Tamandua tetradactyla: one gene and its partners. The protein of the gene in region 1 interacts with the protein of each later gene in a biochemical or structural test. Links are inferred from orthologs where the notes say so. Each region holds a gene or a part of one and is shown on either strand. Other genes may lie near its edges.

The links.
Region 2: the proteins of PAFAH1B1 (region 1) and NUDC form a complex in vitro, tested with the Homo sapiens proteins (3 studies listed by BioGRID). The link is inferred for Tamandua tetradactyla from reciprocal best matches to the Homo sapiens genes PAFAH1B1 and NUDC.
Region 3: the proteins of PAFAH1B1 (region 1) and DCX form a complex in vitro, tested with the Homo sapiens proteins (2 studies listed by BioGRID). The link is inferred for Tamandua tetradactyla from reciprocal best matches to the Homo sapiens genes PAFAH1B1 and DCX.
Region 4: the proteins of PAFAH1B1 (region 1) and NDEL1 form a complex in vitro, tested with the Homo sapiens proteins (3 studies listed by BioGRID). The link is inferred for Tamandua tetradactyla from reciprocal best matches to the Homo sapiens genes PAFAH1B1 and NDEL1.

Annotation. Positions count from the first base shown.
Region 1 is NC_135332.1:56,417,629-56,424,855, reverse strand, and holds the start of PAFAH1B1 (platelet-activating factor acetylhydrolase IB subunit beta), read right to left. Parts: upstream 3,364-7,227; 5' UTR 2,979-3,363; intron 1-2,978. UniProt on the Homo sapiens protein: Regulatory subunit (beta subunit) of the cytosolic type I platelet-activating factor (PAF) acetylhydrolase (PAF-AH (I)), an enzyme that catalyzes the hydrolyze of the acetyl group at the sn-2 position of PAF and its analogs and participates in PAF inactivation.
Region 2 is NC_135328.1:199,318,606-199,326,931, reverse strand, and holds the start of NUDC (nuclear migration protein nudC), read left to right. Parts: upstream 1-5,110; 5' UTR 5,111-5,288; coding exon 5,289-5,369; intron 5,370-7,346; exon of another isoform or gene 7,347-7,530; intron 7,531-7,638; coding exon 7,639-7,716; intron 7,717-8,326. UniProt on the Homo sapiens protein: Plays a role in neurogenesis and neuronal migration. Necessary for correct formation of mitotic spindles and chromosome separation during mitosis. Necessary for cytokinesis and cell proliferation.
Region 3 is NC_135353.1:58,844,082-58,852,291, reverse strand, and holds the start of DCX (neuronal migration protein doublecortin), read right to left. Parts: upstream 3,194-8,210; coding exon 2,830-3,193; intron 1-2,829. UniProt on the Homo sapiens protein: Microtubule-associated protein required for initial steps of neuronal dispersion and cortex lamination during cerebral cortex development. May act by competing with the putative neuronal protein kinase DCLK1 in binding to a target protein.
Region 4 is NC_135332.1:62,284,462-62,292,624, forward strand, and holds the start of NDEL1 (nuclear distribution protein nudE-like 1), read left to right. Parts: upstream 1-4,950; 5' UTR 4,951-5,118; intron 5,119-5,291; exon of another isoform or gene 5,292-5,967; intron 5,968-8,163. UniProt on the Homo sapiens protein: Required for organization of the cellular microtubule array and microtubule anchoring at the centrosome. May regulate microtubule organization at least in part by targeting the microtubule severing protein KATNA1 to the centrosome.

The DNA of each region.
Region 1 (7,227 bases):
TCTCTTTATATCAGTTATTTTTTAATCTGAAAAAAAAAATACATACCAGGTAACTCCACTAACAAATGAAATCCATGCCAATCACACGAAATGTCTGATAAATAATAAGATTATGAAGAATTTTTAAAATTGGTCTCCAAATTAAGCAAAAGATTTTGCCACATGTCAGAAAACAAGCACATTCATTCAGAAATAAAGCGCTCTTACTCAAAACAATTTATCTCAAGCTCCTATCAACTAATAATTTGAAAATCACCACTCAGTGCAGTTTTATAGCTCAAAATAGTAGGGATAGTGACAGGTCAGACACATAATATAGTGACTTCTCATTCCTATCCTTACTCATTCCTCACCACATACAAGCCCTTCTACTTTCTTATCACATTAAAAATAACAAAAAATGTAAAAATATATCATACATTGACATTCATAAAGGTTTATCAAAATCAATTGTCACATGAACTTAAAATTCTTTTGAAGATGTTTATTCACACGTACACTTGATATTAAAGGGACTTAACCTCTCTTATGTCAGTACCTTACAATAAAGTCCCTTTCAAGGGGTAACACTAAAGAACCTACAGTGCAAATTCTTATTCTTTTGATGTTCATTATTTAAAAATCACAAATAGAATACTGTTTTAAGCCAAACAGTAAATCTGTAGCTTTCTTCCAATTTTTGCAGTATTTCTATTACTATTTCTATTCAAATACTCTTGGCATTCATTAATTTACACATATTTAATTAAAGCAATAAAAAACATTAGCAAGGGTGTGTGTGTGTGTAGTCTCCAGACAATAAATGTCTGCTCTAGAGCAGGGTCATTGCTTTTTACCAGAATCATTACATACTGCAAAAAACGGTGGAAACTAAAAACAAGATTTTAATACTATCTAGAAATGCCTTTGCTGTAGCAACAATTAGTACTGAATCATCTTAGAAACATAAGCAAGAGAAAAATGCTATGAAAGGGCAATCTAGTATTTCACAGCTTCTGCTCCCCTACTCCACCCAGCCTTCTCCACTCAATGGCTGTTCACAGCATCCACAAATACAAGCCAATTTTTTAGAAAGGAGATGGGGGGAAATAAAAAAACAGGGTCTGCTCTATTAAAGTCAATGCATGCAGAAATATTTTGAGTGAAAATTGGGTTCCTTATTATGATGCAAAAAATGCATACACCAGCTTCAAATTTGTTTTAGATCCTCCCCTTCTGAACAATTCAAACAATGATCATTTACAACAGAACATGAAAAAATAAATCACCCTAAATACAGATTACCCTCCCGCTTTAATATAAACTGCAATTTGCAATTTAAGATAAACTGCAATTATTTTGCAAAACTGTGTCCTAAAAGACAACCATCACAGATTTAAATGCTAGCTAATGCTTTAGAACCATACCAAAATTTTTAAAATAAAGGTTAAGTAAAGCTTTTAATATATCTTCAACATATCACTACCGACATAACCAAGCAAGAAATTTTCCTGATAAGAGATTGGACCCTGCAGCAATCAAGCCCTGCTGCAGCAAAAAATTTAAAGCAAACACTACTGTGGCAAAAGGGGAGGGATGACATTATTACTGTACAGAAGGCCCAAGCACTATCTCCTCCGCCACAGCTTCAAAATGAAATTCACACAAAACAACCCACCTCCTAACAAGAATAAAATAAGCCAAAAATGGTAAATTTTTTGCTTAGCCTTTAAAATGTTATTAATCTCAAGAATTATGTATTTAAAAGTAGAGGTTGGAATAACAGTATCTTTATTCTCTCTCTGGATTGCTTCTTAAGAGAAAGGGGGGCGGAGTGGGGGGACCTTGGCATGACACCGCCCATTCAGAATGAGACCTCAAATCTGGTCCTTCTCTTTAAAAGCAAGATTTCTTAACCAAAGGATTGACATAAACTGGACGCAAACCCCCAACCCCAAAGAAAATTTCCTGCCTCCTTCCCCAAGGAGTTTCTTGCTAAGTCACTCTAGAAAGGCAGAATAACAAATAAAGAGAAGGTACCTTGAACTCTCCTACCTTATATTAAAACCTCTCTTCTCTACTCATGCTTAGGGAGATAGCGAAGAGTTAAAATTTGCCTACCACATCAAAGGCATTTTCTCACCTGGAAAGCTAAAGAAAGTGAATATATAGGTATTGCCTCTTAAAGAAGTGGGGAGATTAAATTAGATGAAGGGGAATGGTTGAGGACCCGAAGCTCAGTGTTACAACGTCAAAAAGCAACTCCCGTTTAACGAGTCGAGGGCAAAAAGAAAATCCTGTCTCATTTGGTGGGTGGATGCTGCAGATTGTTCCGTGGGTCAGGCCGCCCTTCCTTGGTGGGAGCAGAGGCTGGACCACTGCGAAAGTGGGGGGGGGGGGGCCAGAAGGGGGGTTGGCTATCCTCCTCAGGTCAACTCCATCCTAGGGACAGGTAGGGGTCGGAATGCCTGGGAGGCCCTTGTGGGTACCGAGGCGGCGCGGGTCTGAGCCGGCTCCCCGAGCCACCAACCGCGGGTGGGGTGGGGACTGCGGAGCTCGCCTTCCGCGACTGGGAAAGGAAGGAAGGCCGAATGCTTTCCCCAAGATCAGAAAGCGACTGCTCCCCACGCCCTTCCTACCCAAGAATACTTTTCTTGCTAAGTCACCAGGGGAGGAGGGCGATCCCTTCTCCGGGAGGGCCGCGAGCGGAATCGCGGCGACACCAACAGCCCCCGAGCCCGGGCCGGGGAGAAGGGGAACGAGGGCAGCGCCCTCCCAGGCCTGTCCACCCCTCCTCCCTGTATCTCACTCAACGGCCGTCGCGGCCGCCATTTTGAGAGCGAGGAGAGAAGAAGAAGGAGGAGGCGGCGGCAGGGGGAGGGGAGAATGGGAGGGAGGGGACCGGCGCAGCCACATCGTCAGGCCGCCGGGCCGAGCCCGCAGCCGAACCAGCACGGTTGAGAAGACAGAGGGGAGGGCGCAGACCCTCGCCGTCTTACCGGAGCGCTGCACCGCCGCCTCCGCAGGGCCTCTTCCGTCCTTCACTCCCATCCACCGGCGGGGGAGGGGGGGAGGGAGAGGGAAGGGAGGAAGGAGGGAGGGAGGGAAGGAGGGAGGGGGAGGATGGCGCGCTGGGCCCGGTCCCGGGAAGGGGGAGGGGAGGGGAGCGGGCGGGCTCCTCAGCCGTTCGGGGGCTCGAGCCCAAGCCCGGCGCTCGCGATTTCTCTCGCTCGCGCCTGAGCGCTTCCTTCCTTCTCTTTCTTGCTTCCTAGACCCCTGAGGTCGCTGCTCGTTCTCTTGCTCACTCGCTATCTCGGCCACCCGACTCCGCCGCCGCCCCGCCGCTCCAGCTCCGTCTGTCACAGGAGCTGCCCCAACGCTCTGACGTCACCGCGCCGCCGCCGCCGCCGCCGCCCCAGACCCGTCGGGAAGAGAGAAGGGAGGGGCCCGGGAGCCGAAGGGGTGCGGCGCATGCGCGGAGCTCGAGCTAGGGCCGGGCCCTGAGCCGCGCGGCTTTTAGCTTAGCCGCTGAGAGGCGGTGGCCGGTGCGGCTTGTCGGTGCGGAGGGTTGCAGGGACGTTCTTGCCCAAGAGGCACTCCTAGCGCTCCTCACGCTTCTGTAACATTGGGAAAGGGTCCTCGGCTTCCATCACCCGAACCCTCTCCTAACTGTTTTGACTCCTCACAAACTCTGGCTCTTGCTCACCTTCCCGCGCTGCTCTTGCCAGCATCTGGCGCTGGCCCCGCTTCCCCGGCCAACAGCCGGGAGCGATTGGAACCCGTAGATCCCGGACCCCCCCACCCAAGGACTTGGCGGAAAGGGAAGTCCGACCCAGGTGGTTGCCCCACTGCTTTCTGCTTTCAGATCCATCTCCCAGTTTGGAAAAAAAATAAGGAGTGAGGATATTGGCTTGTGTTTTGCGGGGGTGGGGTAGGGGGAGAACTGTTGAGGTTAAAAAAGATGAAATACCCATCTTCATTGTTTATTACAGATTTTTAATTCGGAGAATTCGCTTTTAGATGTGATTCAGCTATTCTTTTTCTTAGTCCACTCCCCACCCACACCCACCCCACCCCCCACCCCCCGCACACGCGCGCGCCTGCCTTGTAGAAATGTAGTTCCAGCTCTTTGGGCTTTCCAGACTTTGAAAGCCCCTTATGTGTGTGCGTTGGCTAAATTGTAGGGTGAAATCTGATAACAAAGAAGTCTTGGGGATTTGTAGTCAAATTACTCCACCCTTAATTTAAAAGAAGTCCTATTTGGGGTTCTGAATCATTCAATATGGGATAGTCTTAATAAGAGGCATCTAGTATGTTTATCTCATTAATTTGTATAGTCCAAGAAAACTTCAAATGGAACATAAGTTTATCATTATGTTTAATGATTTCATCTCTTCCATTTTTGTAGATAAAGATGTGCAGCTACTACGTTTCTTAAAAGTGAGACAATTTGGTGTGTATCGCCTGGAAAAACTACTTAACAGAAATGGGACATTGAGTAAACTACTATACCTCTTTGGCTTCGATTTCTCTGTCTATAAAATAGACCTAATAAATAAAGAACTTGTAAAGCTTGTGTGAGAATTACAGAGGAGATGCTGTGTCTATGAACCCTCTCTCCTTAATGGGGACTCATAAGTAACTCATATGTAACCATTACTATTGCTGTTGATACCAAACCAAGTTTCTTTTTATCAAGAAAGATTGTAAATGTTCCTGGAGGTGTTCAAGAGGAACATGGGCCAATTGTCTAGAGTATTTGGGTTTTTGCCTTCATAAAGGCAGGGAATTAAATCAAATGGTCTCTGGAAAATCTTTTCCAGGTTTATGAGTCTTGGATTCTCTAGATGAGACACTGTGCTGTTGCTTCCAATGGCAGTCAATAAACATGCAATAAACTAACACTCCTTATTCTAATAATCTACCCTCCTTTCATTTTTATCTTTAAAAATACTTAGTATTGCCTGAATCACACTACTTGATATTTAATCAGTCTGATAAATCTGTGCTTTATTTTTAAAATTAATGCTCTAAAAGTCAGCAAATTTGACCAGAAAGAAATCAGAATCACATTGATAAGCACTGATTTAATACAAATAGGTAATACCAATTGTTACAAACCTTGAACTCCTAACTTGTGCATTCAAAATCTGTGTTTTGTAAGTATGCACTAAATTGAGATCAGATTTTATTTCTATAGCAATCCTTTAAAAATGATAAAGTCCCTTTAGAGGAAGGTATAAAAATTTTCTCACTGGGTTGTGACTCTTCTGAACAGAAATAAAGCTGTGTTATGTGCTTAATTTGATGTGGAGGCATGTGTCATGATTCTATTCACTTTCTTTTCAGTTGCTGAAAATGATGGATCTATCTTAATAAACACTTCTCTATTGAGAATGGAGAATTAGGATAGCTATACTATCAAAATGCATAAAGATTAATCCAGAACCAACTATATCCTTCCAGGAAACATTTAACAATGGATATTTTGGATGGTGTTTCTTGAAAAAATTAAATATAAACATCCATGTTACTTACCACAATCTAATAATCTTCCCGTTCATTTGAATTGCAAATCTGTAGACACTTTCAAAATGGAAACATTTGTTTCAATTGCTGCAGTAATAGTGTTAGTTTGAACAATTCTGCAAATAAGCTGACAGGAACAAACATTCCAAAAATTTCTATTGCAGAGAGGACAAAAATGTCTTTTAAAAATATGTCCGGAGTGCAAGGGTAGGTTAGTGGTACAGTGCTGGCCCACTGTGTGGGACAACCTGGTTCAATTCCTGATCTATGCATCAAAAAAAGAGTATGTCCAGAAAATTGAGACACCTCCTAATGGTGGTCATGAATGATGATCAAGACAGAAATGTTTTTATAATCGGTATCTTAGAAAGCAAGATGTTACAGCGCAGATCCTCAGTGATAGCAAACCAATTTTAAGAATAGACATGCAAGAGATAGTTTCTCTTAAGTCTAGTATAACTATGATGCTGTAAGTGAAAAAGCTATACTTTATTCTGACCAGAGCAAAAGAGATAAAGGCACAGGATTATCAAACTTCAAAAAGAACAAAGAAGTTTTAAAATTTAGAGGAAATCTTATACAGACATTGGAAATAAAGGCAAAGCAAGAAGAATTGGCGAAGCACATGACTTAAGGATCTGGCTTGAGAGCAGAACTAGTATCCAGAAAATATAATTGAGGATACCTGGGGGGGAATTTAACTGTGGATATCTCTGGATAAACATTTTAATTTGAGCATTCACTCAAAGAATAGTCATAAACTCTATAAAGGAAGCCTAGAAAGGGATTAAAGTACAATCATTATTTTAGATGAAATTTCTTATAAGGTCGAATTCCTTGCATGGGAAGTCACTATTTGGGAATATTATCATTTATATAAATAGGATTGTTTGACTCCTGCCTGTAATGGGCTGTGTGTCAGGGATTTCAGGTAATCTGGGATCCCTTATATAAAATGTGGGAATTTCATATGTATTTGTTGAAACCTTTCCACCCATTTTTTTCCTGAGGTCTTTTCCTACTTGTAAGTCCTTACAGACCATTTTGATTCATCAGCTTATCTAGCCTAGTCAGTAATGATCACAATTGGTCATTTTAATTCAGACAATTATTTACACATGCCTCTAAAATAAACTCTGAAAATTTAAGAGCTTAAGACAATAAAAGTATGCCCAGAACAAAAACCTATTCACAGTGAGCACAGATGTTAAAATATTACTTTGAGAATTAAACTGTCCTCTGTAGTTTATAGGCAAATGTAAGTTGTTGTATGTGCATACTGATAGCAAATTAACCTGGTGAGAAGGTAGCTCTCAAGCCTACAAGTTCTATGAATCAAAGTCCCATTTGAAGGAGAACCATCACCCAACTGGCAAGAAATATTAGAAGAGACTCACCCTAGAAGATTTTCACTAATTAATTTGTGTGTTTGCAATTCCATAAAGCATGGGCATGTGAACGAGGGCAGGTCCAACTAGATCAGTCATTCTTCATCTCAGCACCATGCCATCCTTATGTGTCACAAACATTGGGCGACTATAGAAACAATTTAAAGGCTATTAAAAGAACAAAACTCTCAGCCTAGACATGGAAGGGATATTTAAAAGTAGCACTTTATAACCTGAAATGTTTTTTTCTCAATATAGTAAAATAATTTTAAAAGTCCTAACATAAAGAAGCATAATGCAAAAGGATGTAATCAAATTCATTGGTGAGATC
Region 2 (8,326 bases), on another chromosome or scaffold:
CTATAAAAGATTAAGACCCGGGCGGGCCGCGGTGGCTCAGCGGGCAAGAGTGCTTGCCTGCCATGCCGGAGGACCCCGGTTCGATTCCCGGCCCCAGCCCATGTAAAAAACAAACAAACAAACAAAATATAATAAAATAAGAAAATGTTTAAAGATGTTTCCCTTTCTTCCTCCCTTCCTTCCTTCCATCCTTCCTTCCTTCTCTGTCTTTAAAAAAAAAAAAAAAAAAAAAAAAAAAAAAAGATTAAGACCCATCTTGGATTGAGTGGGTCATATCTCCATGGAAACAACCTACTCAAAAGACCCCACCCAACAATAGGTCTGCAGCCACAAGAATGGATTAGAAGACCATGGCTTTTCTGGGATACATAATAGTTTCAAACCATACATGGAAAGTATGAGGAGGGTTTTAGAATACTCATTCATCACAAAGGGGGAAGGATAACCTAGCAGATACCACCTTAATCAAGTGGCCAAAATAAACTACAGGACAAATGGAAATTGTGCACTACCTGATAGGATGTACCAAGAATACAGCATCACTTCTGTGATATTTCTGATAAAGGTTCATAGCCTGAGTCTCATCACAAGGAAACGTCAGACAAACTCAACTTGGGTGACATGCCACAAAATAACTACAACTCTTCAAAGTTTCAAGGTTGTGAAAGGCAAGGAAAGGTCAAGGAACTGTTCCAGACTGACAGACTAAAGAGACATGACAGTAAATGTCAGGAGAGACTTTAGACTGAGTCCTTTCACTACTACAAATTTCACTGGAACATTTGGTGAAACTTAAATGGGGTCTGAGATTAGATGGTAAAATATTTAATGTTAATTTTCTGATTTTCATGGTTATATAGTGTGGTAGTTAGTTTAGGCATCAACCTTCAGGAAATCTAAGATCTAGAGACACAGACCTGCTTTTAGTAGCTTCAAGTCTAATAGGGGAGCCAGGACATCCACATCAGTGGTGGAAGTGAATGCTAAAATGGAGTGGGCAGAGCTTGAACTAGAAAGGATAGGCTCCCATCTGTATAGCACTTCACAGTTTACAAAGTACTTGACAACGGTTATCTCAGTTAATTTTCAGGCAGCAATGGGAGGCCAATGCTACTATTCAAGTAGAAACCTCAATCGTTGCCATTAACAATAATAATAGCTGTCACTTTGATCATCTACCATGTGCCAGGTACTGGACGGGACATTAACTGTAAGATTAAAGAGCATCCAATGAGATAATGTATTTGAAATTGCTTTACAATCCCATGACCAGGGTGCATACGGTTACTCTTGTGTGCAGAAGTCTTGGACTGGTCCAGGGGGCAGCTGGAAAATCCCAGATTGCAGTCAGCGGGGTTAAGGATTGGGAGTATGCAAGCCAGCACTGGGCACCTTTTCATTTCCTGGAGGTGTCATACACATCCATGCCTCAAAGCTTTTGCTCATGGTCACCCACTGCCTGGGATGCCTGTTTGCTTGGTAAGCTCCTGGTCTAGCTCCAATGTTACCACTTAAGCACAGCCTTCTGGTCTTTCCCTCTCCACCTCTTCAGTAGAATAAATTGCTCCCTCCCTGAGTTCCAAGGTCACCTAGTCCACATCTAATGAAGCACTTAGCACATAGTGCCGTCACTCATTACCAAATGTGGATGGGGTCAGAAGGCATTAGGGGAGGCTGACTAGTCACCAAGGGGCCTTCCTGGACAATATTTATTATCTCGGTGAACTTACCAGGGTCTAATTTCAGGTCTTGGTTTCTCATCAAACAAACATCCAGGACTGATTTACAAAATCAGAATGTCAATTCAGGGAGGTAGAATTCTAAGATGAAGTGGGTAAGTGTGTGGGCTGTTGGGCAAGATTGCTTGGGTTTGAATCCTGCCTCTGCCCTTCCAGCTGTGCAAACTTCAGCATGTGACTTCACTTCTCTGTCCCTGTTTTCTCACTCCCCAAATGGGGATATCAGCATTTACATCATAGGAACACTGTATAGGTTAAGTCAAATAATATTTTTAAAGTGCTCAGTCAAGTACTGGACACAGTGAGAAGTCAGTAAATTCTACCAATATTTATTGATAAATTTATAATGAGATTCAAAGGTATCAGGCAAAGACCATTTGTTCATTTCCCAGGTATTTATTGAGGTTTTTACAATGTTTGAGGCTCTGAGATGAATGCTCAGAATATAGTGAAAAATCAGACACGTGCTTTCATAGAGCTTATATTCCAGCAAGAGAAGATTACTGGATCTTGGTGTAGAACCACAATTTCTTGATCATAAATTTCAAATTATAATAAGTAATTACAAAGGACAAGCAGAGGACATTTTTCCCCCTTTTTAAATTAATTTTTTTTAAAAAATATAACACCTAACAAACAAAAACATTCTTTAAAAAATATATATAACAAAAAACAAACATTCTTAACATATGATCATTCCGTTCTACATATATAATCAGTAATTCACAATATCATCACATAGTTGCATATTCATCATCATGATCATTTCTTAGAACATCTGCATCAATACAGAAAAAGAAATAAAAAGACAACAGAAAAAAATTCATACATATCATACCCCTTATCCCTCCCTTTCATTGATCACTAGCATTTCAAGTTACTAAATTTATTTTAACATCTGTTCTCCCTAATTATTTTTATTCCATATGCTTTACTTGTCTGTTGATAAGGTAGATAAAAGGAGCATCAGACACAAGGTTTTCACAATTACACAGTCACTTTGTGAAAGCTATATCATTATACAATCATCGTCAAGAAACATAGCTACTGGAACACAGCTCTGCATTTTCAGGCAGTTCCCTCCAGCCTCTCCATTACCTCTTGACTAACAAGGTGACATCTATTTAATGCGTAAGAATAACCTCCAGGATAACCTCTCAACTCTGTTTGGAATCTCTCAGCCATTGACACTTAATTTTGTCTCATTTCTCTCTTTCCCCCTTTTGGTTGAGAAGGTTTTCTCAATCCCTTGATGCTGAGTCTCAGCTCATTCTAGGATTTCTGTCCCACGTTGCCAGGAAGGTCCACATCCCTGGGAGTCATGTCCCACATAGACAGAGGGAGGGCAGTGAGTTTGCTTGTTGTGTTGGCTGGAGAGAGAGGCCACATAGCAGAGGACATTTTGAAAGTAAAAGCTATAAAGATTTAATCTGTACATAATGGTCAGTAAAGGCCTCATAGATGAAGTGGCACTTGGGCTGAGACCTGATGAATGAAAAGGAGTTGGCCAGAAAAGGTCTAGAACCTAGGGCAAGGAATTAGAAGAAGTGAAGGAAGCCAGTGAAGAGGGAGCCGGGTGAATGAAGAAGGAAGCAGGATGTAATAAGACTGGAGAGGTGGCCAAGTCCCTGATGAGGCCACAGTTGGGAGTTTGGAATTTATCCTGAATGCAATGGCAGTTCCACCAAAGGGCTGGTTTTAAGAAGGAAGTAACAAAATCTGGCTTACATTTTAGAAGGATTGATCTGGCTACTGGGTGGAGAGTGGACTATAAAAGGACAAGAAAGGAAGTAAGGAGCCCAGTTAGGAAACTGTAGGAGTGGTTGTCAAAGCAACGACTGGAGTGGTAGCAGCATAGATGATCAAAAGGGATCAGAATCAGGATATATTTTGGAGGGAGAGCTGACAGAATTTACTAATGGATTAGATGAAACTAGAATTGGGCTTGGACAAATGTGTGAATGAATGGAGATTTTGGCTTTGGCAAATGGGAGTTTGAAAGAGCCATTTAACTCAATCAGGAAGACTTTGGGAGGAAGTAGTTGGGGAGGGGGTGTTCCAAGTCCGCCATGTTACTTTTCAGATGTCTACTATTTAAGTGGAGCTGTCCAGGAGGCAGTTAGATAGATGAGCCTGGAGCTCAGGAAAGGTCAGGGCCACAGATATCGATTTGGACATCATCAGGACAACCACTGGAGTCAATGAGATCACCTAAGGAGAGAGTGTGGCTAGAGAGGAAAAGAGGAAAAAGCAGGGGATAGAACCTCCAACATTTTACAAGTCTGTGACGCACAGGACACTGAGAAATGTTAATAAGTTGGGAAGAAAACCAGTTAAATGGTGACACAGAAGCCTAAAGAAAAAAAGTGTTTCCAGAAGGAAGAAGGGGTCAACTGCAGCAGTTGCAGCTGAAAAGTTGCATAAGATAACAGCGGTCCATTGGCTTTGGTAATATGTAGGTCATTGTAATTTGATCAGAGCTGTTTAAGAAAAGACCAATTAGAATAAGTTGAGGCAAGATGAGAGGTGGAAAGTGGAGAAACAAGCATAGAATTGTGCTATAGAATGAGCACTAAAAATCGGAGCAGGAGGAGAAAAGTGAACTCATGGATTTTGTTTTTTAATTACTATTATACCATATTTGTAAGTAGATAGGAATGATCCAGAAGGAAGAAATTTGTGATGCAGGAGATACAAAAGGGAAAACTGCATAGTGTAGAGTCCCTAAAAACACTAAGATGATAAAATTCATTGTTTAAATAGAGTAGAGAGAGCCACCTTAGATGGCCAGGATCTGTTCCCACATTGACAGAGTGAAGGCTGAGAACAGGGAAAGTTACACTATCAGTGCCGCCTAGTGTGAAATGAAAATATGAGGCTCATTGTTCAAAAATTATTAAGAATTTCAAGACTGCGACAGCGGAGTAGTAAACCAAGCATAGAGGGCTCTTCAAGCCTGGGGCCTGTGTAGCTGCAGAGTTTGAATGGCAAGAAGCCGGTTCTCGTTGAGTCTGTGATGGTGACTGTGAGGGGTGGGGGTGGGGCGGTCCTTCGGGTAAGACCCTTCTACGTTCTGGGCCTCAGTTGCCTCCTGTAAGTATTGGAAAAGATGACTAAGTGTATTTTCAGCTCCACCGTTCTACAAAACAGAAAAGCAAAGTTTCTTCCTTTCCAATTTCCAATCCCGCCAGATTTGAGCCCTGTGCTTTCTGGAAGGCTCCAAAGCATTTGGTGACCATAGCAACTGACGCCAAACTCCTAGGCCTTCGGCTCCGCCCACCGCTTCATGGACGCCTCGTTGATTGGCTGAGCAATCCACGGCCAATGGACTGTGAAACGGGATGTTTGCCGCGCGGCCAATGGCCACCGCCTGGGCCAGAGGCGGGAGAGGAAGAGAAGAAGGCGGGCTCGGGCCGCGGGCTCACGTGCGTGTTTCCGGCTCCGCTGCGGAAAGCGAAGGACGCGAGCCGTTGGCCCGACGCGACCAAAGGAGCGAGGAGCGCTTGGGGCGCGAGTGCGGAGTTCGGGGAACGGATAGAGGCCGGCGCGATGGGTGGGGACCAGGAAGAGGAACGGTTCGACGGCATGTTGCTGGCCATGGCTCAGCAGCACGAGGGCGGCGTGCAGGAGGTAACGGCCCCGCGCGGCGTCGGCCCAGCCGGCTTCAGCGTGGCCTGCCTCTCCGGGCGGCTCTTATCACGCTCCCTCTTCCCTTCTTTGCCTTCGAGGACCGAGATCCACCCCTGGGGCTCGCGGGCTTCCGCGAGTCCCCCACTTTCTCCCCGCGCTCCAGCTTCCGGTCTGGACTCTCAGCCGGCGTGTCCCTGTCTTTTCATATCAGTTCCGGCCCCCGGGCGCCTTTCTCGCTCCTATCGCTGCCACTTCGGCGTCCAGAACAAATCATTCAGTTTATGAAACCGAGGCCCAGAGAGGGGTGGGGACTTACCTGAGATCATCCTTTAGGCTCTGACCTAGCCTGAACCAAGCTCCTTAGGCCAGTGTGCTTTTCACAATACTTTACTTATTCTGTTTTCATTGTGCCCGTTGAAACCCATACCCAGAGTCTTGGGTTTTCCCTTTTGATTTCCCACATGGTTCCAGTCCGGTGCTCCCATTGATGGCCGCCCCCGAAGAGCATTCCTTAGGATAAACTTTGTTAGGCATTGTGATTTGCATCTACCAAGATTTGCAGTGAGCGGACTAGAGTCTGTGGGGTGTTTGTTGGGGGTGGAGGGTGTGTTAGCACGTGGCCTTTTTAAAAAGGTCTTGAATGGGAGAATAGGAGGCCTGTGCTCACAATTGGTTTCCACCACCCACCAGCTTGGGACCGTTCCACCCCTCCTCAAGCATCAGTTTCCTTATTTCTGAGAAGGGGCTCTATGAATCCCTGTTTTCCTGAATCATTGTAGAGAAGTGGTATCTTGAGGAAGGACAGTGGAGAGTTTTCAGTGATCAGGCTTGTTAGTTCAGCCAGCATTTGTTGAGTGATTGAAGTGTGCCAGACACTCCCTGGGCTGGGTCTTGGGGATACAGACTTGAGCAGAAACCTCCTTGTCCCCGATGGAGATAGCAAAGTGCTTTTCCAAAAGCATGATTCATGCTGAGTGATCAGTCCATGAACTTTAAGGGCACGTAGTGTAGATTTTGGAGTTTGTGTTTTGAAACAGAAACAGAAAGTGAGAAATAGGAAAGCCTGTCAAGATCAGTCCAGAGCAGTCATTCTGTTTATGAAACTAAGGCCCAGAGAGGGGTGAGGACTTGGCTGAGATCATCCCTTCGGCTCTGACCTAGCCTGGACCAAACTCCTTAGGCCAGTGTGCTTTTCACAATCCTTTGCTTATTCTGCTTATCATTGTGCGCAGGTTTTCACTGTGCTGTCCATTTCAATTATTTCCCTCAGGTGTCCATGGTGTGCAAGGGTTCCCGAGCCCTGGGAAGTAGAGAGGGTATAACTAATTTGCAAGTGTAAAATGTCTTTCTGCCCTCTACCTTCCCCTAAATCTTTGAGACAAAATGAGATTTAGGATTGAGTTCAGTTTTCAGTGGATTGGAAAAGTATCCAGAAGCAGGAATTGTATCGTTGAGATAAATTCTAGCATCAGATTTAGAACTATATGGGCAAATAATAGCACTTGGATATGCTAACATTAGGTCACTACTAGCTCTATTCATTAATCAAGAACTGTACTGAGCATGGACTCTGAGCTGCATGTGCCAGGCATTGGGGAAGGAGTGAGAATAAGCTATGGCACCTGACTCCGGCTTGCGAGGAGTCCATGCTCTGGTAGTGGCCTGTTGTTCTGTGCTGAACACTGCAAAGGGCCTTCCCTCCATTACCTTGTTTGATTTTCACAGGGTCCTTTGAAATAGATCTTGCTACTATTCCTGCTTTACAGAGTTAAGACACTTCCCCAAGTTCACAGCTAATAAATAATCAGTTTGACACTCAAACACATGCTCTTAACCACTTGGCTACAATGGTACCTTAGCCAGAGTTATTTGGTCTTGCCCTTCTTTAAGGTGGCTTCCTTTCCTCCCCTCTTTCTGGCTGCCCTGCTAGCTCAACCAGTGCCACTCTGGATAGCTTTTTTTCCTTTTAAGAGTATTTTAAGCCCTGGGTGCAGAGGTTTGAATGTTCTACATCCTCAGGCTACTTCTAACACCACAAGAAGTATGGAACCATGAGCACGTATATACACAAGATATGAGAAATCCACTTTCCAAGTGGTTTGGCTAAGGTTAGGTTTGGCTTCCTGGCAGGAGTGACTAAGGAGGCCTGTGGAAGACTCAGGTGAGAATAGTTAAGTCCCAAGTTCTCTTGAACTTAGGAAGTTGGTTCTTGTGCAGTGGAGGATTCCCAATATGACATGCCCCACAAATTCAGTCTTCTGTCTTTCAGCTTGTCAATACCTTCTTCAGCTTCCTACGACGTAAAACAGACTTCTTCATTGGAGGAGAAGAGGGAATGGCTGAGAAGGTATGTGTTGGGGGCCCGCTCTTCTTTGGGTAGCTCTATCTCTTGAGAAAAGCTTACCTGGCTTTCTTTTGGCATAATAGTAACCTTCAGCAGAAGCAAAACACCAAGGCCAGGGAATAGGGGAAGGGAAGCAAGCTGTCGTTTATTGCAGCCCTACAATTTGTCAGCTGCTGTATCTATTCTACAAGAGAGGCAGGTGTTACTACCCCCATTTTACACATGAGGACATTGGTTCATGGATGTTTTGCAACTTATCCCAGGTCTTGAACTGAGTTGTGGGAGAACTGGGGTTGGGACTAGAGTCTACTCTAAAATACGCCTTCTGTCACTGGCATTATTCTTTGTTCCTTTTTCATTGAAGAGGTTTAACTAATTATAATCAGAGGATGTTAGAAATTGAGGCTTAGAAGACGAGAATTCAAAGTCAACCAATCCCAACTGGTCTAGATGCTGTGACCCAAAGCTCAAGGGTTTGTGACTTGAGGTTTGCTATACTGGATCTGAACCTCTCTCCCCTGATACTGAATTGTCTTCTGATTCCTAGGGGTGTATTTCATTATAATTACATCTTTTGAAAATTGATACATCATATAAAATCACTGAACTATGA
Region 3 (8,210 bases), on another chromosome or scaffold:
GGGATTGATAAAATGGTCTAAAAATAGATTACGGTTAGGGTTGCACCCCCAGGCAAATTTTCTAAAAATCATGGAATTATACACTTAAAATGAGTGATCTTTATGGAATGCAGATTCTACCTTAATAAAATCATTTTGTAAAAGAGAGAACATTAGTCACAGTGATGTTAAGAACAACCCAATGATCATGTAATAGCCAGCTATAAACTAGGACAACTCAAAAAATAATAGCTACTTTTTACTGAGTGCTACTGTGTGCCAAGCAGAAGGCTAAGCAATTCATATCCATTCTCTTATTTAATACTCAATGCTGCTATTCCAAATTTATGGATGAAAAAGTGAGATTCAGGAAATCTAAATGGTTTTCCCAAGGTCGCACAAAGATAGCCGGTAGCAGACCATGGATTTGAAGCTAGGTTTGTCTGATTCCAAAGACTTCTCTTCCCATTACAATCTCCTGCTTCTGTGACTACAACTCAATTACTCTGATTCTTCACTGTGGGATCTTTCCAAACTTTCCACCTGCTTTCAACTTTAAACCTCATGGGAAGCAAAGTGTATACATTTTTGATCTTTCATTCAACCTCTTTCAAAGGTGAACAAGTGAAGTGAGGGGACTTCTGACCCATCCCTATATATACTGAGTGGTTCCAAAGGACAAAATAGGATAAAAAAACATTTTCTCTACCTTCCTCATCCCAGTGGTAGTGGGAAAATTGTTCACATTTCTCAACATTTTCTCAGAGATTTCCTTGACTGAATGGGCAGAACTCAATATTAGTAGGGCATCAAGGCCTACTGCCTGTTGTAGATGAGAAATGAACAAATGCAACTAAGCCGAGTCACATGGATGTACCATATAGTCACTAGGATGTACCACTGTTTCCAGAAGTGGTTGATGAGTGGAGTACAGTCTGGCAAGACCCAAGGGAAAAGAAAGCTGCAGTCTCTTCAAAATTACATTTATTAGTTAAAATGAAGTGTGTCTTTATCACCAGACACACTCTCAACACATACACGTATACACAAATCCAGGGAGAAAAATCAAAATCAAGATCAAGGACTTGCCTTTGAGCAGGAGATATTAAAATGGATTTGTTGGAGAAATCTATACATGATACTTCTCATATCAGGCACAAGAAAGCATTCTAATCCTTGTTCCTAATACAACGCTGTTTGGTTCAAAATACTGCCTTAGAATACACTGTAGCATTCAGAAGATCACAACTGGTGACTCAGGGTGCTTTTTTATAAAAAATTATTAAAAAAAAAAACCCTGAAACTCAACTGAGAAATGGATTTTACAATGACAAAAGAAACACACCCAATTGATAACTTTGTTGGACAGCTCCCGCAACACGCCCTCGTTTACCCTGGCTCTCCTTTACATTAAGATATGTGCTCAGACAGGTCAGGAAGGGTCTAGAATTAACCTCTGTCTGACCATCCAACACACGATCAAGTAACTTAAGCCTCCTTGAGGTTGCCTTTCAAGGTCAATTATGCAGAAAAACCTTAGCCTTAAGGTCTGAGACCTAGATACAGCAATTGGATGCTCATTGTCTCTCATAAGTAACCGGAACTAATCACTTGGCCCAACTTGGGAAATAGCAGCTACTTGAGAGAACTGTGGTCTTTTACAAAGGAAGCCCTGCGTTCTCCTTTGTCTAGGAACATAAGAAACCTAGAAGCAGTAAAGCGGAGGCTGGACACTCTCATACCAAGTTATTTAATATACTCTAGCTCCTTCCTTTTTGGCCATTTCAAAATTTGGTTTCCCTAGATAACTGCCTGCTCCAAACTCATCTTTGCTTAGGGAATGGAGAGAGTGATGAGGAAGGGCTGGAGAGTGTGGGAGGGGGTTCGGGTGAATATTTTCATTATCACCACTCCTTTAGGCTGTCTTTTAAATCATTGTTTCAGGTTAAACTGATCATATATGTTATAACCATCAATTTAAAAGTAGGGGTAGGGAAGTATTCTCAATATAATTGATTGGATAAGATAGAATATTAAGAACATTTCCCAAGATCTATTTATTAGATAATCAAGAAGACTTTAAGGCTGAGGAACTTTTGGCAAGAGCTTAGATTTTTCCCTGTTTTGCTGGTGGGTACAAAGGCTGACGTATTTGCAGCAATCTAGTTAGAAAATAGAGTCCAAAACCACAATCTACCGAGGTTTGAAAGGAATTTAGATACAGTGTGTCAGTTCCTATTCTAATAAGAAAAGTCTTTTTTAAAATACCAGACATACCTACAGCTTTCTTTGGCATTTCTCCCAGTGACCTCAGCCTAAGGGACACACCCTGAAGTGGGCTTTTTAGAAGCAACAGCTGAGCATTGGCCAATTACCTAAAAGTATAATCATCTGTGAATATGTCCAGTAAGTCCTGCTTTTAAGGTACATATTTCCAATGAGTTGCAATTCACAAAATAGTCTCAGCAGTTCAAAGGAAACTTGGCCATAATTCCGTCTCTCTGCTAACCCAACCAACGTTTCTTCCTTATAACACCTCTAATTATTTTGTGGTCTGCCTCAATAATGCTACTCAGGGTTAATTATGAACAAGAGGTAGCGTAAATGCCACATTTCAGATTTTTCTTTGTATACTCTGGTGGATTAGCACACTGCATTATCACTTCCACCCCAGAAGAAACTAAGGATATAAATGGTGATAGTGCTGTTAATACGTGCAGAATAAGAAATCTGAGCATTAACTCATTGACAAACATATTTCCTAATTTCTTTTGATGTAATCCAAGAAATGTAACTATAAACAATGGTGTCACCCTCCCCTCAAGGACCATCACCCACCCATTGAATTACCTTCCTCTAGTTCATCCATGCTTCCAATCTTTCTGGATCCATCAATAGTGTAAATGTATCGCACTCCTTGAGGCAGGTTGATGTTGTCAGACAGAGATCGAGTCAGGTCAGCCAGCAAGGCGTCGAAGCTGCGAAAACGGTCAGAGGACACAGCGTACACAATCCCCTTGAAGTAGCGGTCCCCATTGCGGTAGAAACGTACCTTCTTGGCTTTCTTTTCATTACTCAGTGCCTGCAAGGTTCTGGTTCGGTAGAAGCTACAGTGGGCACTGTGAGTGGGACTAGGCAGTCCATTCATCCGTGTGCCTCGCATGTTCCTGGATGTCTTATCTCTTTCGTCAAAGTGTCCAAAATCAAGTTCCATATTTTGGTGGAATCTCAGAGACCTGAGGGTTGGAGAAAGGGGTGGGGGAATGAGGGGTAAAGAGAGGAAAAGAAAAGGGTATGAGAAGGAAAAAAAGAATAGAATTTAAATATTAGCCAGATCCAGATTCAGATCAGCTGCTTGTGAAAAGAACTGGTGGAAAAAGCCTGTGACCCATCTGCTACTTGCCACTGACCTGCAGGAATATGGATCTTAATAGAGAAGAAGGAGGAGCTAGGGGGTGTTGGTGGTTGTGGGGGCTGGGATGAGAGATAGGGAGGGAGGCACTTCTGGCACTGTTCCAAGCAGAGGAAAGGGAAGGATTTTGAAATAGCTTAAAACCCTGAGACTTAGTGACAGTGGCTCCTATCAAAATGTAACTTCGGGCTAAATACGTTTAAACTGGCATCTGTTTCCTCACACATGCCCACAGGACTAACAATTGTAAATGAATCCACATTCTAACAAAATTCCCTTTGAAGAGAACAAGAGTTAGCCAAGGTTAGCATCTCTAGTTTAGGAAGCAGTCTTTGCATCTCAATACAATGACTGAGAAGGAGAGTGTTTTAATTTTATTCCAAACCCTCTTCCCTGCACTAATGTGTGCATCCCCTCCCCCCAGAATAAACCAGGATTCTCATTTAAAGGAACAGCCTCCAGGGACTAGCCAGCGTCTTTGTGCTATTCATCAAACCCTTTCCCCACCAAGCTGGTGCAGCTATCCAACATTCATAAGAAATAAGCTGGAAGAAAAGGATTAGAAAAATCCGTTATTTAACAAGTTATTAGGTCTGCTTTCCCCTGTGCCATTTGGTCACAAAATCCTTTTCTTCTTTTCTCTCTCTTTTTTTTAAGTTGCCCCATCCCCTCCCCACCACTGCAACCTAACCTCATAATGGAATAATTTAATTGTTGAAAGATTCCCACATGAGTCCCTGAACAACATATGGGACCTTTAGAAGCAAGCACACCTTTCATTGTTCTGGGTTTCTACCCTGACTGATGGGGTATTTTGTCCTCACAGTGGGCAATTCATTCCAAATATGTCTATTGCCCAGGTGCATTAACTGAGGCAAAAGATGGTCATCTGTCAGTCTTTGCTTTCCTCTCTCCTGCCGAATCAGAAAAAAAAAAAGAAAAAAAGATTCAAAACATGAAACCAAATACAACCCAAACTCCCAAATGCTAGCAAAGGTAATGACATCCTAGGAACCAAACTATTAACATGCATCTCACAGATGGGGATAAAAGGACTCACAAACAAGCAGGGCTTGGCTGCTACATAATGCCCCATCGAGATCTTTGCAAGGGATCAGGAGGACAGGAGATAAAAGGGGGCTGGTGCTTAGTAGGTTTGCCAGGCTCTGTTCCCTTTTCTTCCAATGTCACCATGACCTGTGCTGAGCTCAGCATTGTCTGTGTCAAATAACCTGCAGTGGTAAAAGACCCCACCTCCTAAAGACAAGGAGCAAGCATTTCTCCAGTCGTGCCAGTACCATCTCGTTTTCATTTAGGATCGGGGTGGTATTATTCTAAATAAGCCTCACATTGAAAACAAAGAAACATTAAACTCACTTTTCCAAAGGCAAATCCCAGGTAGAGACTTAAGAAAAAATCCACTAGAATAAAGCAACAAGGGAGAGGGAGAGAGAGAGAGAGAGAGAGACGCTTTGCCTTCTTGTGCTTTTCCCGTTTGACATCTGTTACATTCTGCCTGAAAATCTCTTGAAAGCCCCACTCACCGGTTTTCTGCTGGTTGGGTGGAGATGCTGAGAGAAAGAAAACCAATCTCTCTATGCCTTTGTTGTCTGAGCTCCAAGCAAGAAATTCCTGCCAGGGTGGATAGATGCCTGCTAGGTCCTAGTGCCTTGTCCAGCTTCTCCTCTGTAACTCAGGTTCAGTGAATCCCCCCAACCTCCTATGATTAATTACATGTGTTTTTTTTTTTCAATTCAAAAGCAGCATTAACAGAAAGGTTTCATTTATAACCAACAGGAAATTGCAGGGTAGCATAAAGATTGCACAGGCAAGTTCAGAATGCTCTAATGAGCAATGTGCTATCGTTTTCCTTTAGGGAATTGGAAATTTCACATTACCAAACCCTTGGCCTAATCTGCATAGGGGCTAGACTCAGACAGCTAAACCAGACTTCTGAGAAATTGTAGTTGTCTTCCTATCACTCCCTTGAGAGAAAGCAATCAAATTTGTAAAAATTTTAAAGACATGTTAGTTCAGGCATCATACAACTGGTTGTTTTTGAAATGGAAGTTTAGTGGAATAGACTAAAGGGAAAAAAGAAAGGGATAAGGAAAGGCAAAATAGTTCTAGAATTTCATGCAGGATGGGGTTGAAAAAGAACCTACCCCAAATACCTTTTAGCTTGGTGTAAACATTTAATTAATGGGATATATGATGCTTAATTCTGCTTTATGAGTTCAAATCAAATGTGAAGAAGGCATGATGGCTATAAGGAAAATATTAACATATCTCTCCTCAAACTGCCTACTTGCCACAATTTGAATTCTTTATACCATTAATGTAATAAAGGGCACTGAAGCATACACACAGAGCTCATTAGATCAGGCTAAATTATAGAACAAAAGAAGAGGAAGGTGAAAGTGAAGAGTGGCAGACTCTTATCTTTACAATTGAGGCTACGGGAATTGATAAGTAGCAACCTTGAACTATCATGGTTCCATTTTTGTTTGGCCTTCAGGCAGCTGAGAGGTAACAGCATATTCAATAATTTGTTATATCTGATAAGAGCAACCAGCTCTTGGTCTCATATTTAAATACTTCATGTACTTGTGTTTTAATGTAAACTGCCTCAAAGTGGGATAAAAATATTGTCATTCTTCTCTGTTAAGTCATGGCTCATCAAAGCCTAAGCCAGATATGTGCTAGGTGGACAACCTCAAATGAGCAACCTGCCCAGTCAAATACTCTCAACATCTTGCTACTATTCTCCCGGTTTCTAAAAAAGTGTCTCAGGAAGTGCATTTGTCTGCCTGGTTCTTTTCCATGTGTTTCTGCCTTATGCTGTGAACACCTCTTGATTAATCAGGGTGATTCAGGTCAGGGGTAAAGGAATATCAAGAACATATGGAAATTCCAACGAATGATATAGAAATGGTACCAACTTCCTTGTTCAGCAAGACCAATGTCTTAAAACTTTCAAATCATAAGTATATAGTATATTTACAACACCTAAATTTGTAACAGAACCCAAAATCACTTTATTTCTGGTGAGGATATAAGAATGAATGGGTGCTAAGATTTAAACATCAAGAATTTGAAATGGATCTTAAAGTAATCTTCCTTATGATATAGGCTTTGCATCACTATCCAGGAAGCAGCAAAATGTCTTTAAGACACAGGCTAGAATAGATAGCTTTGTTTGTTTATATACACCAGAAAACAGAGGGATAGACAAGATCAGTATTTCCCAATGTGAGGTGTGTGGATGTTAATGTGTCCCTTAAAAACTCAAAAAAAAAGTTCTATGGCCAAAAATGTTTGAAAAGTAGTGGTATAAACAAAGTTAAACAGTTTTCTTTATTAGAAGAATTTTAAAACCTTTAACACACCTAAAATATTGTGTAAATCTCCAAGAATACAATTTACTATAAAGGGCTTCACACAATTAAAAAATCTCAGAACATTTTATTTTCTGGGCTTCACACTATTAAAAAACATTTTGTTTTCCATGAGCATCTCGTAGACCAATGGTCTGTGGGGATAAAACTCGTTCTAAAACAGGACTAGAACTTTTCACAAAGATCTTTCTTCTGAAAGAACTCTCAGCTACAAACCAAGATCTTAGTCCTCACATCCTCTGGCAGAAGACAAGGTCTCAGGCATGAGTCCAGAGGGGAGCTGCATCTTTAAGTATGGAAGTCACTTTTGAAGATCAAAGGGGAATCGTGGTTGAGGATTCCATAGAATAAAGAGATTGAAGGAAGAGCAAAGTAATCTTATTGTGGGAAATATAGCAATATGGCTCTTTCAGCAATTGTGACGCACCCAGTACCACAGGCAAGATGTAGGGTAGAAGATTTCTATCACAGAACTTGAGGGTCCTAAAGACTCATCTGAGGAGACAACACAGCCTGCAAAAATCATGAACAAGAAGGGTTAATCTTTCTTGATATCCTGCAGTCTGGATTAATCAAACCGAGCTTAAAGAACAGGGTCAGAAAACAAGACTATTCATCACATAAGGAAGCAATTGTTAGTTTGTTACATATCAGAAGTACAGAGAACAGGGTATCAGGTGGGGTGAGGTAAGCAAACCGGAAGTGAGGTTAGAAAATATATTTATACTGTTTATAGGGGACACAAAACTATTTGAAATAAATGCATCCAACAAATATATGCAAGAACTTCATTGAGGAAATCATAAAACTGTATTTAAGGACATAAGAGAAGCAGTGAATAAATGTAGGACTGGGCCAGGCTCACAGATAGCAAAACGCAATATTTTAAAGGTATCAAAATTCTCCCCAAAGTAATCTAAGTATGTGAAAATATTCCAATAAACTCCAACAGGAATTTTTGTGAAACCTGAAAAATTGATTCTAAAATGCTGATGAAAGAATATAAAACTAAGAATAGCCAAAAATTGTGAAAAAGAAAATTTAGAAGGGGATATTTTCCCTGCTAAGTTCTATTGGGAAGCTATGGTAATGAAGACAATGTGGTGTTGGCCTGAGAGGTGGTGGAGGCGGGGAGGGGGGGCAGACAAATGTCAATGGAGGAAAATAGAGAGCCCAGAAATAAATACAAGTATAAATGGGAACTTGGTAAATATAGAGTTGTGGTAAGCACATGGGCTCTGGAGCCAGACTGACTAGACTCAAATTCCGACTCTTCTGATTGTTAGTTGGTGAACTTGAATGAGGTAGTAACCTCTCTGTGCCTCTGTTTACCTATCACATGGGGTTATGATAATAATAGTATCTATACTAGTTGTTGTGAGGTTTAAATTAGTTAACATATGTAAAGTACGTAGAACATG
Region 4 (8,163 bases), about 5.9 Mb from region 1:
ACAAGCTCCAAAAGAGTCCATCAGGTTCCACTGGTAGTGAGAAAAGAGGCTGCACATCTTCAGGTTACCCCCCAGATAAGGATGAGGGCTCTTGCCTTCCAGGTACCAGCATATCATGTGCCCCAACCTAAGTTGTCCACATTTTCCTCACCTCCAAGAGCCATCTTTAAGAAAGCTTCAAGGCCTGCTAAGGGTGAAAGCACCTGGCCAGGGCTCCTGAGGTCAGGAGCAGCTGCATTCTCAGACAGGTGCGATGGGAAGGAGGCTTGGAGCCTACAATTCCTCAGCGCAAATTCATCTCTACCCAGTTCCTGAGGTTCTGTTGTACAGCCAACCGGAGTTTGAAATTTATGGGACAGATTCTGCTGGAGGAACCGAGTTTGGGACCCTCGAGGAAGTCACTGGTGAGCGCCATTTGCTCCAGAAGCTGCCGAGGATGCAATAAAGACAACAGATGGAGCTTTGCTTTCTTTTCAAGGTGGTGCAGGGGCAGCCCAGCCTGGGGCTGTCTGGGCCGAGCAAGGGTCAGGGGCCAACCAGAAGTGGGCATTTTAAAACCAAACATGAGGGCGTTGTGGTGGTGGCTCAGTGGTAGAATTCTCCCCTGCCATGCCAGAGACCCCCACTGAAGGCTGTGGCATTCTGTAGCCCACCTACACTCAACAAATATTTGTTGTTGGCCTTCTCTTGACCTGTACTATGATAGAAAGTAGGATGAACCTCTCTATTTAAGGCATCTGCACATATTTTTACATTCTTATTCAATTCCACATTTCTGTTGTATTTTTTACAGCAGACTTCTATTTTAAGGGCCTCGATCCTATTTTTACCGAGGGAGCCGCCCCCATTGGAGCTTAACATGGTTATTTTTCTTCATAGCACTTTCCATGACCTGGCAAAATATATTTACTTATTGCCTGTCTTTCCCTAAGACTCTAAGCTTAGTGGGGTGCTTTTTATGCACCTACAATGGTGCCTATAGCTGTTGAATGAAAGATTTTCCTCTTTCTGTAAAGCTCTTCACACTCACGCCAAGGTTCAAGGTATACAGATTTTTTAAATTAGAAAGAAACCTATTAATACTATCTCTTATGACAAAAACAAAAGATGCTGCACTGGGGACATGGGTTCCGATACTGTAGACTCGGGTTTAGCTTTGGGCTGGAGAAAAGTTGTAATTGCCTGTGACTCTAATGCCTGCCCCTCTGTTACCTGGCATCACCCAAGTTTAGCCTTTCCTACCAGTGAAACCTCATCTGTCTATGGTGATTGTTTTCAAGATTTGGGGCATTCCCTGGAAAGTTCCATCAGTCCTGTATTTGGACTTATAGGCACTAAACCTTCGAGTCATTCTTTTACTTTCATTGAGGCTTATTAAGCGAGTGTTGGCTACATGCCTGTTTCTTGGGGGTGGATATCAGAACAATCAGCACTGTCCCTGCACTCAGTGAGGTTCCTTGGGGGAGAATGGACACCTCCAGGACCAAAAGGCTGTATTCACGAGCCTCCTGTAAACTGTGCAAGGCTCTACTTGAGCTCAGAGGGCTTTGGATATCAGGGAAGTCTTCCTGGAGGAGGTGGGATATGAGTGGGATTTCAACAGGCAGAGGGGGTGGGAAGGGCTAGCCAGGGTGGCAATCAATAAAAGACAGGCCAAGAGAGGAAGGGAACCTCTCTTGGGGAAGGAGGCTGAGGGTCTGGTTGGGCCACAGAGGTGAACTATAGGATGTAAACTGAAGAAGTGGGTTAGTGTCGCTCTGGGTGAGCCTTAAATGACCGACTGTGTGGTTTGTACTTTTTCACAATGGCATCAGGATACCAAAGCAAGTTTTGGAGCCAGGGATGCTTGTTGCAAAGTGGGATTTTAGGAAGATTATTCTGAGGGTTGTTGGTGGACTGCTTGGGTAGAACCCAGAAATTCAAAGAAGAAATTTGAGGGAGAGAAGTTTTGGGAGGGAGAGAAAGAAATAGGAGACTTTGGACTGGGAAGACATGGGGAGGGGGAAAACACTGACAAATGAATGGATTTGTTTGACAGAGCTTATGAAGGGCATTTGGTGACTGTATGAATGAAGTGGGAGCTGGGGAAGGCGATAATTTGGGGCAATTTGACAAGGGCTTTGTGCCTCAGTGACTAGAAGGATGATGCAGTGGCAGAAAATGAAAATCATTTTGGAAATTTTGGATAGGGCAAAAGGAGGATCTGTTTGGGTTTTAGACACAGAGAACTAGAGATGGTGATGGTATAATAGGTGGACATATCCAGCAGGCCAGTAGCAACCAATCAGCCATCTGGTCCCTTGTCCATTCTGATCCCTGCCCTGAGCTGAGGGCTGGAGGCCCTTCAAGCTTAGCAGAAACTACTGATCAAAGGAATATGGAGAGATGAGGCTGAATCAAGCCCTTGATGACTTTGAGGTGTCTGGTTCATCTGACTCAACAGAGAGTTAAATATGTCCCATATCTTCCACGTTTTCCTAACAGGCCTATGTGCATCCCATCACCATTTGGGAATGTGATGTGGCCAAAAGTCCTCATTTGGAGTTTGAGGTTGTATCCAGGCCCAGTTGAGCCCTGCCCCACTCGGGGGTAGTACCTGGCCTCTGTTTCCTATGTCTCAGAATTTGGGGCGGGGAAGATATTGGGGTGCTCATGAATATTCTGAGAGGCTGTACCATTGACTCCCTTGGTTCCAGCCAAGAAAGACCTTTTTCTGGGACCCATGCCTTTGCAACCCCCTTCATAATGGTTTTGAAGGCAGAAAGGTGAGGCAGCCCACTTCCACATTGGCTGATTTTTAACTTCTATTCCCTTTTGAGGCTGTCTTCAGTGTTCATTTCCACTTTATTTTCCCTGGATGGGCATACTGGAGGCAGGGGTAGGGCAAAGGGAGCTCGCTGTTACTGGTCCTGCCCTGCCCCCTGGGTCCTCCTCTCAGGGAGAAAGTCAACCAGCAGGGACATGGAGATCAGTGCAGTGCCTTCGGCATCTCTGAGAACCCTGCCAAGCAAAGCCCTTTAATTAAGATGGGGCCAACACAGCAGTCCTGGCAAACATCAGTTCTGCATCCAGCTAGGTGGGAGGGGCGGTGGCTGGAAGATGATGCCATTGTTTTCTGAGGGGCCTGGCCTGCCATTAGGTGACTCAGTAAGTTTCCCAGCACCTTGGCCAGGAGGCAGGGACAAGACTGCAGCTTTATCTATTTTTTTCCTTTTAGGGTGGGACTGCTCTGCTTTGGCACTTGGTTCACAGGAAAGTGTTCAGTAATCATCCCCATGCCTGTGATCCCTGCAGAGACCGATAGCCTGCATGAGCTTCTATGGTGTCCCAGGCCCCAGACCTTGGGGGTAATACCTGCTTAGGTTTAACCCCCAGCTCCTCTTTACCTCTCTGGACCTCGTTTTTTCCAATATGTAAAATGGATGCAATAAGTCCAGCCTCACAGGCTTGTTGTGAGTGCAAATGAGACAATGTGTGTAAAGTGCTTAGCTCTGTGCTCTAGCCCAATAAATGGCAGTTACTATTATTATTATTATTCTCCTTTCTTGAGCTATTAGATAGTGGTGGTTAATGGTGAGGTTTCTGGACTGAGATGATCCAGACTCAGTGGGTTTGAATCTTGAGTTGTCCTCTTTCTAGTTGAGTGACCTTGGGCAACTTCACCTCGCCGAGTTTCAGTTTCCTCATCTGTAAAATGGGGATAATAACAGTCCCCATTTCACAGGGTCATTGTGAGGATTAAATAATGCAGGTCTAGTGTTTAGCACAATTGCCAGCACATAAAGATTGCACCAAAAAAGTGAACTACCATTACTATGATTATCATTTTTTCAACCCTATATCTGTCAGAGTCTAGATTAAGGTGTCATCTTTCTCACAAATTCATTAACCACTTCTCTGATCTTCATTGATTTGGGCACTTCTTGCAATCCATTTTGCATTGTTTCTGTTCATGTCCATCTCCTTCAAAAGGGCCTCCAGGATCACCTTGCCATTTCCTTGAGGCTTGTCTTACAAATAATTTTTTGGGTCCAAAAAACCTCAAGAATCCAATCCCCAAAGCACTGAAATAAGAATTACACTGTATATTACACAGCAAATGTTACTAAAATTGTTTTTAAAACAGTTCTCTTCCTCCAAATTTTCACTCCCTAAACAGCTGACCATCTCCGTTTTTCCCCTGTCTGAGCTACCTCTCCCTGCAGAATATATATATATATTCTGGGTTCTTTTGGGATCTGAGAGAGATGAATACACATTCATACACACATGACTCAGCACATATTTAAGTAAATATGTGCCCAGATATATACAATATAAAAATAAACATATATATGAATCCTCATGGGACCCCCAACAAATCCATTCATTCATTCAACAAATATTTGAGTTCTCATTGTGTCTGGGACAAAGCTATCAGTTGGGATAAAGAAGGCATAAGAGGTTTCATTTTTCACGGAACTTAAATTCTATTTGAGGAAGAAAAGGACAAATACACAATTTTGCCAGTGGAAGTGCTGGAAAGACAACACAGAGCTTAATGAGCGCGATTACGGGGAATTAGAAAACTATTCTGTTCTATTGGGTGATCGGGGATGGTCTGGGAGGTGAAATATGCGTCGACCTTCATTTTATAAGTGGGGACACTGGAACTTGGGCACTTAAAGGCCTTGGAGGCTAAAAACAGGAAGGCGGCCTCCCAACTGCTCTACAGTGGTGCCACTTCGCCGAACCGCAGATTGTTTCGGTGAACCTTGTCAAGTCCAAGCCGGGTTCCCTGCGGGTCCGAAGCGCTTGCGCAGAAGGACACCACCTGTCTGACGTCAACGCGCCGGGTCCAGACCCGCCCCCCTGTGACGCCCTCCTTGCCACCGCCCAGCCCCGTACGCTCTTGCGCTTGCGCGCATGCTCCGAGCCCCGCCTCCGAGCGTCACAGAATGGCCTCGGACACCCAGGCAATCTCTGACGTGTCGGGGAGGAGCCGGGCGCCGAGGTGCGCGGAGTGGAGCTCAGGGCTGTGGAGAGGAGCGGAGCTGAGCGGCTGGGCGGGCCTGGCCAGGCCAGCGGAGCAGAGACGCGGGTCGAGCGGCGGCGAACATGCGCTTTTGACACATTGAGGTGAGCCTGCTGTGCTCGGGGCGCTCCCGCGGGGGCCGGGCCAGGCTGACGGCGCCGAGGCCTGTCCCTGGGGATCCCGCGGCACCGGGAGCTGCGCCTGAGGCCCCGCCGGGCCGGGCCGGGGCCGGGGTTCGGGACGGCCAGTCCGGGGGGTGGGCAACTGTTTCAACCGCTCTAACTGTCCCCTCCTCGCTCTGGACCGAGGTGCGGCCCGCTAGGGACGCCTGAAAGGGAGCGAGCACAGCGGCCTCTGGAGGAGGTGCCGCGGTCCCAGGGTGGGGTGAGGAACGGAGACCGGACGTGGCCCCGTGGGCCGGGGCGCTGGTGGCGCAAGGAGTAGCCCTGTTAGAGGTGGCAGCGGCGCGCCCAACCCTCCACCCCCCTTAAGAAAAAAAAAGAAAGAAAGAAAAACCTCATCTGGGAGGTTTGGAGCCGGGTTGGGTTTGGAGTCCTCAGCGCAGCTTTCCCGCGGGGGGCGGGGACGGAAGCTGCTTCGGGGCTCGGATGGCATTGCCATGACTCCCCCCCGGATCTGCTGAACATCTCTTTCGGAGATCAGGAAAGTGTTATCATATGGGTTCGAGTTGCTTGTGCTCGTTCCTTTCAGGTTGGTAAGCAACGAGATAACCCTTTAAGTTTTGCCAAGGAAGTGAAGGTTCATTTTTCACGACTGATTGTTACGTTCCATTTCCGTGGCTCGTGTACACCCCTTAGAACCCTCTTGCCAACATCCTTTGATCCTCATCATCCTTTGGTTGTGACTGATTCTGTTAGCGCCTTAACGGATGGGGAAATGGAGCCTGCTGGGGGAGAGATGTTAAGTGATTTATACTTGGGTACAACCAGCTGGTGAGTGGCTTAGCTTGGCTCAGAACTTAGGTCTCCAAGCTTGGAGTTCTGATTTCTTTTCAACTGACTTTGATACCCTTCTCGGCTAGGAAGCGAGGCAGAAAATTTGACTTGTCAAAAGATGGAATACCAGAAGCTAGTAGATAACTTACTGAAATATTTTTGAGCGCACTGAAATGGCTAGTATAAAAACCGCCACTCAGTTATGAGAAAAATCCTACTCTGAGGCTTATTCGTAGGTTGTTGGTTAGTTATTTTGTCTGATTAATTGTGTTGTTTTAAATCGATTTATGAAGTAGGGTAGTATTAGCTGAGTCTTGAAATGAATTAGTTGGTGGGGACAAAATGCAGCTTTAAGTTATGAGTTGAAGAGAAGTAAAGGGGAACTGAGTGAGGTATCTCTTCTGAATTATTATAAAATTATTATTTAAGCAAAAAGACACTTTTGGCTGGCTTTGGTTATAGGTTGGTCAGGTCCGGATTCTATATAGAATTTGCTCAGTCTTTGAAGCTGTAGTTCTGTTTTGACTTTAAATAATTGAAGTTGGATAAGGAATGCTTAAAATAGCTAGATACCTTGGTAGAAATTTAGTTCGTACTTTGGTGACATCTGCAAAATTTATTCTCATTTTAAACCATGCTGAGATAAATTTGATTACTAAAGCTTAAAATTACTTCTGACATGAATTTCTAGCACATCAAACAGTAATAAAAGAAGTTTGATAGGACCGAAAGGGAGGCCATATTTATAATCAACTTGAAAAGTTAAAAATTCTCCAAGAATTCTGGTAAAAACTCACGTATTACCTACAGTGAACTCCAGAAGTACTCTTTCAGCCTCAATAATTCATTCTACAACTATTAGCAAGAAGATAATATGCAAAATAGATTTTCTTACCATTGTGCAGAGTAGTTTCCTTGTAAATATAGCATTGTAGACAGAGTGTTTTATACTCGAATGGGTTGATTTGAGTCACTGAATAGCTGAAGGTCATTCACAGGATGGTAAAGCCTGATGTAAAATTTGTGATACTTTTGCCATCCGTTGAGACATGGTACTAGTGGAAGATTGGGGGGAAGGGTAAGTATATAATTATCTGCCTTCATTTCAGTGTCAGAACATTGTGGATGTACCATTAAAGCATTTCTTTAGCAGTATATTTTTCTGTATTGGCTAACTTTCTATAGCTTTACTATCTCTAGTTACATAGATTCAAATAACATGGTGAACACATCCTCCCACTGTAACTTGAAGCACTTTGAACATTCTGTTTTTAAAGCCCCTGAAACATTCCTTTGAATATCTGCCGTCATAGCAAATTTTTGTCATTTTATGAAGAGTCTAATTTTTAGAAAGGGTAAGTCTGATGAATAAAATTAGAGTGATAAAGCTATATAATACCAGTCAGGAAACGATACAAATGAAATCTGACCGCAAAGTAAGAACTTTTTGTTTAGTTCTTAACATGGCTCTTAAAAGCTATTTCAAAAGGGAAATTTTTAAAATGTTTTCGCTAATGGTAGTATCACTGGAATATGCATATAGTTTCCTGAATTTTAAGGAATTATTTCTATGTTAGAATTTTGAAGCATATTTACTTTGTGCTTACACTTCATAGATTAACTTCTGAATCATCAGTCTACTACTTAACGTACATTTGTGCTGTGTTTACTATGTGCCAGGCTCTATTCTAAGTACTTTGCAAATATTAACTCAGTTTTTAAATTAATTTTAATTATTCTCATTTTACAAGTGAGGAAATGGGGCACTGAGTGGTTGAGTAACTTTCCCAAGTTTGTTGAACTAGTAAGTGAAATCTGAATTAAAACTCAAATTAGTTTTAGAGTTTAGTCGTGTAACCACTATGCTGTCCTGTACCTGTGGTTCCCGGTCAAATGTTTTTACTGGAAAAGAAGGAAGTAATTTAAGTAAAATTTTCAGATGTAGTTTATAATACTGTTTGAGTGGCCAGTAAGCAAGTTTACAAGATTGACTAGAAAAATTGTAGTCAGCTTTCAATTTACATAATAAGATTCAGTAAGAAAATAAAGGAACTTGTGTGACATATGAACACATATTTAAATAACTTTGCTAGAATTATTCAATCTGGGAGTAAGTAGTTGGACAATTAGAATACAAGAGACAGAACTAGAATCTCAAGAGGAAACCTAGGTCACTAGAGGACTCTGATGGAA